Linked DNA regions of Stegostoma tigrinum. The protein of the gene in region 2 interacts with the protein of the main gene of each other region in a biochemical or structural test. Links are inferred from orthologs where the notes say so. Each region holds a gene or a part of one and is shown on either strand. Other genes may lie near its edges.

What was found.
Region 1: of the proteins of prkn (region 2) and ccne1, one has a biochemical effect on the other in vitro, tested with the Homo sapiens proteins (2 studies listed by BioGRID). The link is inferred for Stegostoma tigrinum from reciprocal best matches to the Homo sapiens genes PRKN and CCNE1.

The regions. Positions count from the first base shown.
Region 1 is NC_081369.1:32,655,929-32,659,679, reverse strand, and holds the start of ccne1 (G1/S-specific cyclin-E1), read right to left. Parts: upstream 2,709-3,751; 5' UTR 2,062-2,708; coding exon of another isoform or gene 2,036-2,061; 5' UTR 1,948-2,035; coding exon 1,822-1,947; intron 1,742-1,821; coding exon 1,682-1,741; intron 261-1,681; coding exon 94-260; intron 1-93. UniProt on the Homo sapiens protein: Essential for the control of the cell cycle at the G1/S (start) transition.
Region 2 is NC_081362.1:24,016,742-24,020,492, reverse strand, and holds the start of prkn (E3 ubiquitin-protein ligase parkin), read right to left. Parts: upstream 2,727-3,751; 5' UTR 2,668-2,726; coding exon of another isoform or gene 2,661-2,667; intron 2,439-2,660; exon of another isoform or gene 2,367-2,438; intron 1-2,366. Other genes in the region: parkin coregulated gene protein homolog, read left to right, coding at 2,727-2,921. UniProt on the Homo sapiens protein: Functions within a multiprotein E3 ubiquitin ligase complex, catalyzing the covalent attachment of ubiquitin moieties onto substrate proteins. Substrates include SYT11 and VDAC1.

The DNA of each region.
Region 1 (3,751 bases), on a different chromosome or scaffold from region 2:
AAATAATGTCACCATAATTGACCTATGCAAAGCTGTCTTCTTGCATTATGAAATATGGCTAAGACAGTGCAAGTTTAGTGTATAAATACTTACCACAATGCTGGTAATGGTGAAGCTCTAGTTGGAGTGGCTAAAACATTTTTGAGCCTGTACTGCACACAGCTAGTAGAATTTGATGTAACCATGTCATCTAGATTTGTGCATGATGTTGCATGTAGTCTGTATGGACTCATACAGTTGGCTACAGTAGTCCAGCAATCCTGCAATTAGTCAATTTTGCAAACAAACTAATCATTAGAATAGTTGTCAATTTTCAGACTGAATTCAGCTTAACAGTGGCAAAAAAACATCACTAGTCCAAAAGTCTGAACTGGCTAATCCCTCTCAATTAACATTCCATGCTGCTATTCCAATACTGTCACTTTACCCCAATTCACTAGAATCACTTGATTAGCTGGTAATGTTAGAACCATGCTTGACTATCTTTCATTAAAGCTAGAGAAGGAATAAAAAAACCAACAACTTGGCAGAATTACTCCAATTCACCTAGAACTGTGAGGTAGCAGGATCGGAGCCCACATTCTCCACCCTTTGGGCCAGCGCAGAGACTTAGTAGTTAGCACTGCTGCCTCAGTGCCAGGGACCCAGGTTCACTTCCAGCCTCGGGTCTGTCTGTGTGGAGTTTGTACATTCTCCCAGTGTCTGCACGGGTTTGCTTTGAGTGCTCCAGTTTCCTCCTGAAGTCCAGAGATGTGCAGGGTAGGTGGATTGGCCGTAATAAATTCATAGTGCCCAGGGATGTTAGGCACGGGAAATGGGTCTGACTGTTGTGCTCTTCAGGAGGGGCAGACTGGACCTGTTGGGCCAAATGGCTTGTTTCCACACTGTAGGGATGCTACAAGATGTTCCTTCAATTAAGTTGGTTAAATGGTAGGACAGGATCAGTGGCAACTCAAACATGGGCTGTTCTGGTAAAGGGACAGTGTGAATAGCATTGTACAAAAGGAGCCATAAAGTTGGATTAGCCATCACCTTGTTGAATAGCAGAGCAGGCTCGAAGGACTGAACAACCTACTCCTGTTGCTATTTCTTACACTTAGTTCTTGCATCATACTTGTGAGTTCCCTGAGTGAAGTTTTTAAATTGTGCAATTTTGAGCTGATTTTCCAGTGTTAGATTTACCCAGATCCAAAGTATTGAGATAAAACTATTAAAAAGTTACAACCAAAATTTCTGCCCAGGTGCCCTACATCCCAGCCTACCTGCTTCACAAAACCTTACTGCAAGATCTATTGGTATTGCCACACTAGAATTCTAGCATTGCTAGATACTCTTGGCTAGTTTTGAAAGATATTAAACCCCAGATTTTATTAAAATATTTGGGTCAAGGGGAAAAAAGCACTCTAGAAACCACCACAGTGGTTTAATTTTAATACTCAGTTATTGGATAATTTGCTTACTGTGAAGCTAATCAAGTGCTCCTGAGAAACCAAAACATGTTCAAGACGACCAAGGCCTGGATTATATGCCTAAACAATGTACAACACTGCTATTCAGTTAGTGGCAACATGTTGACCAGAATCGAAATAGCTCAAGATTAAGAGGTTGGCTAAACAAACAATCATCTACGCATAGCAAAAGTCATAGTTAAATAAAACCTGCAGACCTCATATTCTATTACCTCCTTTTCGTATGGTTTCGTAGACTGCACTTCTGTAAGTTCATCCAAGTCTTGCAAACACTACGATCAGAAAAGACCGATTACCAAACTTAGAAAGCGTGCTAAAGCACAATGGCATATTCATGTGCGGTTAAACTTACAATGGCAACGTCGGCTTTTCGCTTTCGGGTATGCAGCACAATCCTGTTCGTTTCTTCAGTTTTCGTTGATTGGTCTACTAATTCACTGAAAAGAAATAATAGCTTAAAAAATGCACATTTGCTCATTATGGCAAAATGCCTTGTAGAGATTAGGCCTTGTAGAGACACCCACCGTGAATTTATAACTGGTAACACGGCACTGCTTTCAACTCACTTTAAAATGTACCTTTTTCTGGGCATCTTCAGTGTTGTTTGTGTGGTTTAAAGATCTCCTGTAATTCAGAAGGGAGAGGCTGCATGAAGTTACTGTCGCTTCTCGAGGTAGTGAGGTGGTTGCTGCTGCTTACTCACAGGAGTGGACCTCAGGTTTGGGCGCGGGATGGGGTGGGGGCCACGCTCCTCTGGCCCAGTCACATTACTGGTGTTGGGAAAAGAGGGGATGAGAGGGAGGGCACTCAGCCCCAAGCCGGCCTCTGATCTCAGCGCACAGCCGAAGATGGCCGAAGCCGGGACCCCGCGCTGCCTGCTGTTTAACCGGGAAGAATGTGGGTACGACCAGCCTGCGCTGATGGGGTGTCAGCTGGTGCTCACCACTAGGTGACCCTCGGTATCTGTGCCCCGTTTCTATGGTCTTATCGCCCCCTGTCTTCTTGCTCTGTAGCCTGCCGCTGATGCTTCCCTCCAGTTAGCCCTCAGCCGGCTCCCGCTCTTAGCCCAGCTCCGCTCCACAGTGCCGGCTAGTCTCTCTTCATCGCGCTTGCGCTGATCCCTTTAAATCGCTGGCGGGAGTCAAGCGCGCGTTCTCAGCCGGAGGAAGTTGTCACAGGCCACGCCCCTGTCCCCTTAGGCTCCGCCCCGCGCTCCTTAGCTCATGCTCCCTCCTTCACCCCTTGTGTCCGGCTTGTCCCACTCAAACAGACTCGCTGCCAAACCCCGCCCTTCCCAGGAACCCCACCCACCCAGAACGTCATGCGCCACATCACGCCACACTTCCCCTCTCCGACCCCGCCCACCAGTGCGAAATGGGTGGCGATAATGACGGTGAAGATTGGGGATGTGGTCAGTACGTGGGTCGAAGATAAACAAAATTCCCGGCCTTCAGCCTGGGGGCCTGGAGCCGTAGAGCCATGGAGCCTTAGGGCCAGGCTCATTCCCTTTCCCGACCTAGACTGAAGCTCCAAAAGCTTGTGTTTTCAAATAAACCTGATGATTTCTGACCTTGTCCACCCCACCCCAACATCGGCACCTCTACATCATGTGTGTCTTTGACTGTCAGTGAGAGAGGGTCACCAAGCAGCCTGCTGCTTTGAACCCTCGCTTAGATCTCAGAGGTGATGAGCTTGTAGCAGCTGTGAGACCGTGCAAGCTCATTGTGTTGTACTGGAGATGGTGCAGCTGCGGCCAATGCCAGGTGAGAGGTCAGTCCTGTCATTGATCGGGGGTGACAGTGACTGATACTCTCGTACAATATCTACCTCCTCTTTTCTAGGGGCTTCTCTCAGTGGGTTGTCAGTGTCTCAGATAACCAGGAAGGCCTGTGAGGAGGCTGGGGTTGTATGTATCTCTCAACTTTGCCTCCTATCACCCATTCCCCCAACTGGCTTCAGGTCTTCACTGTTTGTTGTCATTTTATTTATTTCCCTGGATTGTAGCCGCATCTGAAAACCAAATGATCCTTCTCACAATAGACTGGTATGTTCTTAAGAACCACTTTATGATATTGCAAACGCTTCACATATTTTGCTATCACCCTTAATTGCTGATCATTCCTTAAGTCACCAACTCCAATTAAGGAAAAAGAAAGGGGTAGTAGCTGTAACCTACAGACTTCCTGCTACAACAGTAATGTGTCAGAATGTTGTTTTGTTCAGAAATCAGGACAATAGAAGTGAAAGCGAAGACCTTTTTGTCGGAGACTTTAATTTCAGGG
Region 2 (3,751 bases):
AAGAGAATCCCCCTCGTCCTCATGTACCACCGCACCAACCTCCAGATCCAACGCATCATCCTCCGACACTTCCGCCATCTGCAATCCGACCCCACCACCAAAGACATCTTACCCTCCCCACCCTTGTCTGCTTTCCGGAGGGATCACGCTCTCTGTGACTCCCTTGTCCGCTCCACACTCCCCTCCAACCCCATCACACCCGGCACTTTGCCCTGCAACCACAGAAAGTGCTACACCTGCTCCCATACCTCCTACCTCGCTCCCATCCCAGGCCCCAAGAAGACTTTCCTCAAGAAGCAGATGTTCACCTGCACATCTGCCAAAGTGGTATACTGCATCTGCTGTACCCGTTGTGGCCTCTTCTACATTGGGAAAACCAAGCAGAGGCTTGGGGACAGCTTTGGAGAACACCTAGGCTCGGTTCGCAATAAACAACTGCATCTCCCAGTCGTGAACCATTTCAACTCCCCCTTCCATTCCTTAGATGACATGTCCATCCTGGGCCTCCTTCAGTGCCACAATGATGCCACCCGAAGATTGCAGGAACAGTAACTCATATTCAACTTGGGAACCCTGCAGCCCAATGGTATCAATGGGGATTTCACAAGCTTCAAAATCTCCCCTCCCCCCACTGCATCCTAAAACCAGCCCAGCTCGTCCCTGCCTCCCTAACCCCTTCTTCCTCTCACCTATCTCCTCCTCCCACTTCAAGCCCCACCCTCATTTCCTACCTACCAACCTAATCCCACCCCCTTGACCTGGCCGTCCTCCCCAGACTGACCAATCCCCTCCCCACCTACACTCACCTCTACTGACTCCATTCCTGCGCTTTAACTTGTCTGTCTCCTCTCCACCTATCTTCTCTATCCATCTTCGATCCGCCTCCCCCACTCCCTATTTATTTCAGAACTCTCTCCCCTTCCCCCTTTTCTGATGAAGGGTCTAGGCCCGAAACGTCAGCTTTTGTGTTCCGAAGATGCTGCTTGGCCTGCTGTGTTCATCCAGCTCCACACTTTGTTATTATGGAGTAAATCATTCTGGATTCATTTCATAATCACATCTGATTATGGGGATTAGTTACAGAATGCCTTGTCCATGTTGCAACAGCACTGCAAATTATCCATTTTGACACAGGGCTGAAATTTCTAACTACAGCATCTTGTTTCACCAAGTGAAAAGTCCAAAGAAACTGGAAATCAGAAAAGATAATGAGAGGCATAGATAGAGTTGATAGCCAGAGACTATTTCCCAGGGCAGAAATGGCTAGCACGAGGGGTCATAGTTTTAAGCTGGTTGGTGAAAAGTATAGAGGGGATGTCAGAGGCAGGTTCTTTACGCAGAGAGTTGTGAGAGCATGGAATGCGTTGCCAGCAGCAGTTGTGGAAGCAAGGTCATTGGGGTCATTTAAGAGACTGCTGGACATGTATATGGTCACAGAAATTTGAGGGCGCATACATGAGGATCAATGGTCGGCACAACATTGTGGGCTGAAGGGCCTGTTCTGTGCTGTACTGTTCTATGTTCTATGTTCTATGTTCTAAAACAAAAAATGCTGGAAAAACTCAGAAGGGTCACTGGATCCAAAGTATTAATTCTGTTTTCTCTCAACAGATGCTGCAAGACCTGATTATTTTTTTCCCCCAGCAATTTCTGTTTTTGTCTTTGATCTTGTTTCACCAATTAGTTTGTTTGCCTCGTGTTCCATTCCCATGGAAAATGCAGCAAATCTTTATGCATGGAGGACAGCATTTCAATGAATACAAAGAGGATTTTCCGAATGTATTTCGCTGGTTGAATTTCAAACTTCAGAGGTCATCAACATAGCAATCTTTGCCACAGCTTTGGCTTGGTTGTACAGGGAGAAGGGGAGAACTGTCACAGTCCTTGTGGACCATCTTTGTAATTTAGAAACTAAAACAGAAATGGCTAGGAAAAGCTCAGTGGTTCTGGCATTAAATACGAAGAGAAATCAGAGTTGACGTTTCACGTACAGTGAAATTTCCTCAAGTCTTTCATTGTCAACAAATTTCAACCTCCAGTTGCATCGTACCAAGTGTATATTGAAATAGAAATTGATGACAAGGAACTAGATATGTTTTACAGAATCGGTCCATATTTTCTCAAACAGCAAAGTATCAGGCCAATTGGAATGGCTCCACAGATTTTTAAGTAAGTCATGTCAGGGTTGGTTTGCATTAAACATTGTAAAATGTACATTATCATACATAAAGTTATACACAAAATTAATTAAACCATTGAACAGTTTAGATTTAGTTAGTTTTACTATCTTTCAGATTTAATTGATCGTTTAATTATTCTACGGCTATCTTTTTTCTAGTCTGAAAGCCAAATAACAAAACATCAGATCCTCGGTAGTATAGTGGTTAGTATCCCCGCCTGTCACGCGGGAGACCGGGGTTCAATTCCCCGCCGGGGAGACAGTGATTTTGTTTACACCACTACTGTATACTGTATGGTGAATGAAATGATTATATCTAATTTACCTTTGATTTATCACTTCAAGTCAATATTTGTTTCAAATTTTCGTTTGCTATAGTCAAAAATGATGGATTATTATGCTAACCGGACGTGCGTACATGACGTCTGCAAATACGACTGAACACGACCTGGCAATAACTTTATGTCAAGCCATCACCTACCGATCATTTCTTTGATCACTTCAGCTCTACAAAGGGGACACTTTGGGCGAAGCTGAATTTTACATCATGTCGCCTGTAGATATTCCAGTTAAAATCTGTAGGCCAAGTTGTACTGCGCTTGCGTGCAGCTTTCTTCCTTGTCAGGGAGTTCCAGGATTGTTTACTAACGTGGTGGAGTGCGTTCGAGGGCAGAGGAAGAGGCGGCGCGCGAGGGTAAAGGGTCGAACACGTGAATTTGGAAATAAAAGGATTTACAAGATGGTGAGCAAGTAGTACCATATACATCATTATTAAAGAATAAATAAAGGAAGGAGGTCCACGGAGATCATTAAGGGTTGTGAAAACCAAGGAAGTGGGAGGGTTGGTGCCCTGAGGGATTGAGTCGCCGAGAAAAGAGCCCGAGAGACGGCGATTGTGAGCGTGAAGTTTGAAACAGAGTAACCCTCATATCAGGAAGGAGGAAACAAAACGTCTTTTAAAAAAGTGTTCGCTTTAATGTTTTAGGTCAATTTTACTGAGGGTACACTCAACGTGCAGTCGGGGCATCATGATTCAAAAATAAGCCCGTTCCAGTCACGTGATATGTCAACTGAATTAACGGGAACCCTTCGGCGTGACGGAAATGACGGCGTTTGTTTAATGTATCTCTCTTAGCAACGGGGTGCCCGGAAAACCACCAGCTGTTGGTGAACCAAGATTTTGTTCGAAACGTTGCAAGAACAATATAACAGCGGTGGAATTTGTTCAGTAGGAGGTGTCTTACTGCTACTCTGCCTTCACAACAAATAAAATGCCAGCTGCCTACGGACTGGAAAAGGGCAACCAGAAACTTCTGGCGACTATGTATCAAAGACCTAAGAAGGATCATAGAGTAACTGAAGGTTTCACAGTGAAAGCCATGATGAAAAATTCCATTGTAAGTAGCTAAATATTCATTGGATCACATGCTTAAAAGCAGACTGCATGCTATTTCAACCTCCCTCTTTTAGTATGTGTGATGTTTTAAACGAAAATTTTCTTAGTAGCAGCTCATTATTCTCAGCTATGAATTTGTACGAGCTCAATGCATCCAAAGACAAATTTATTCTTCT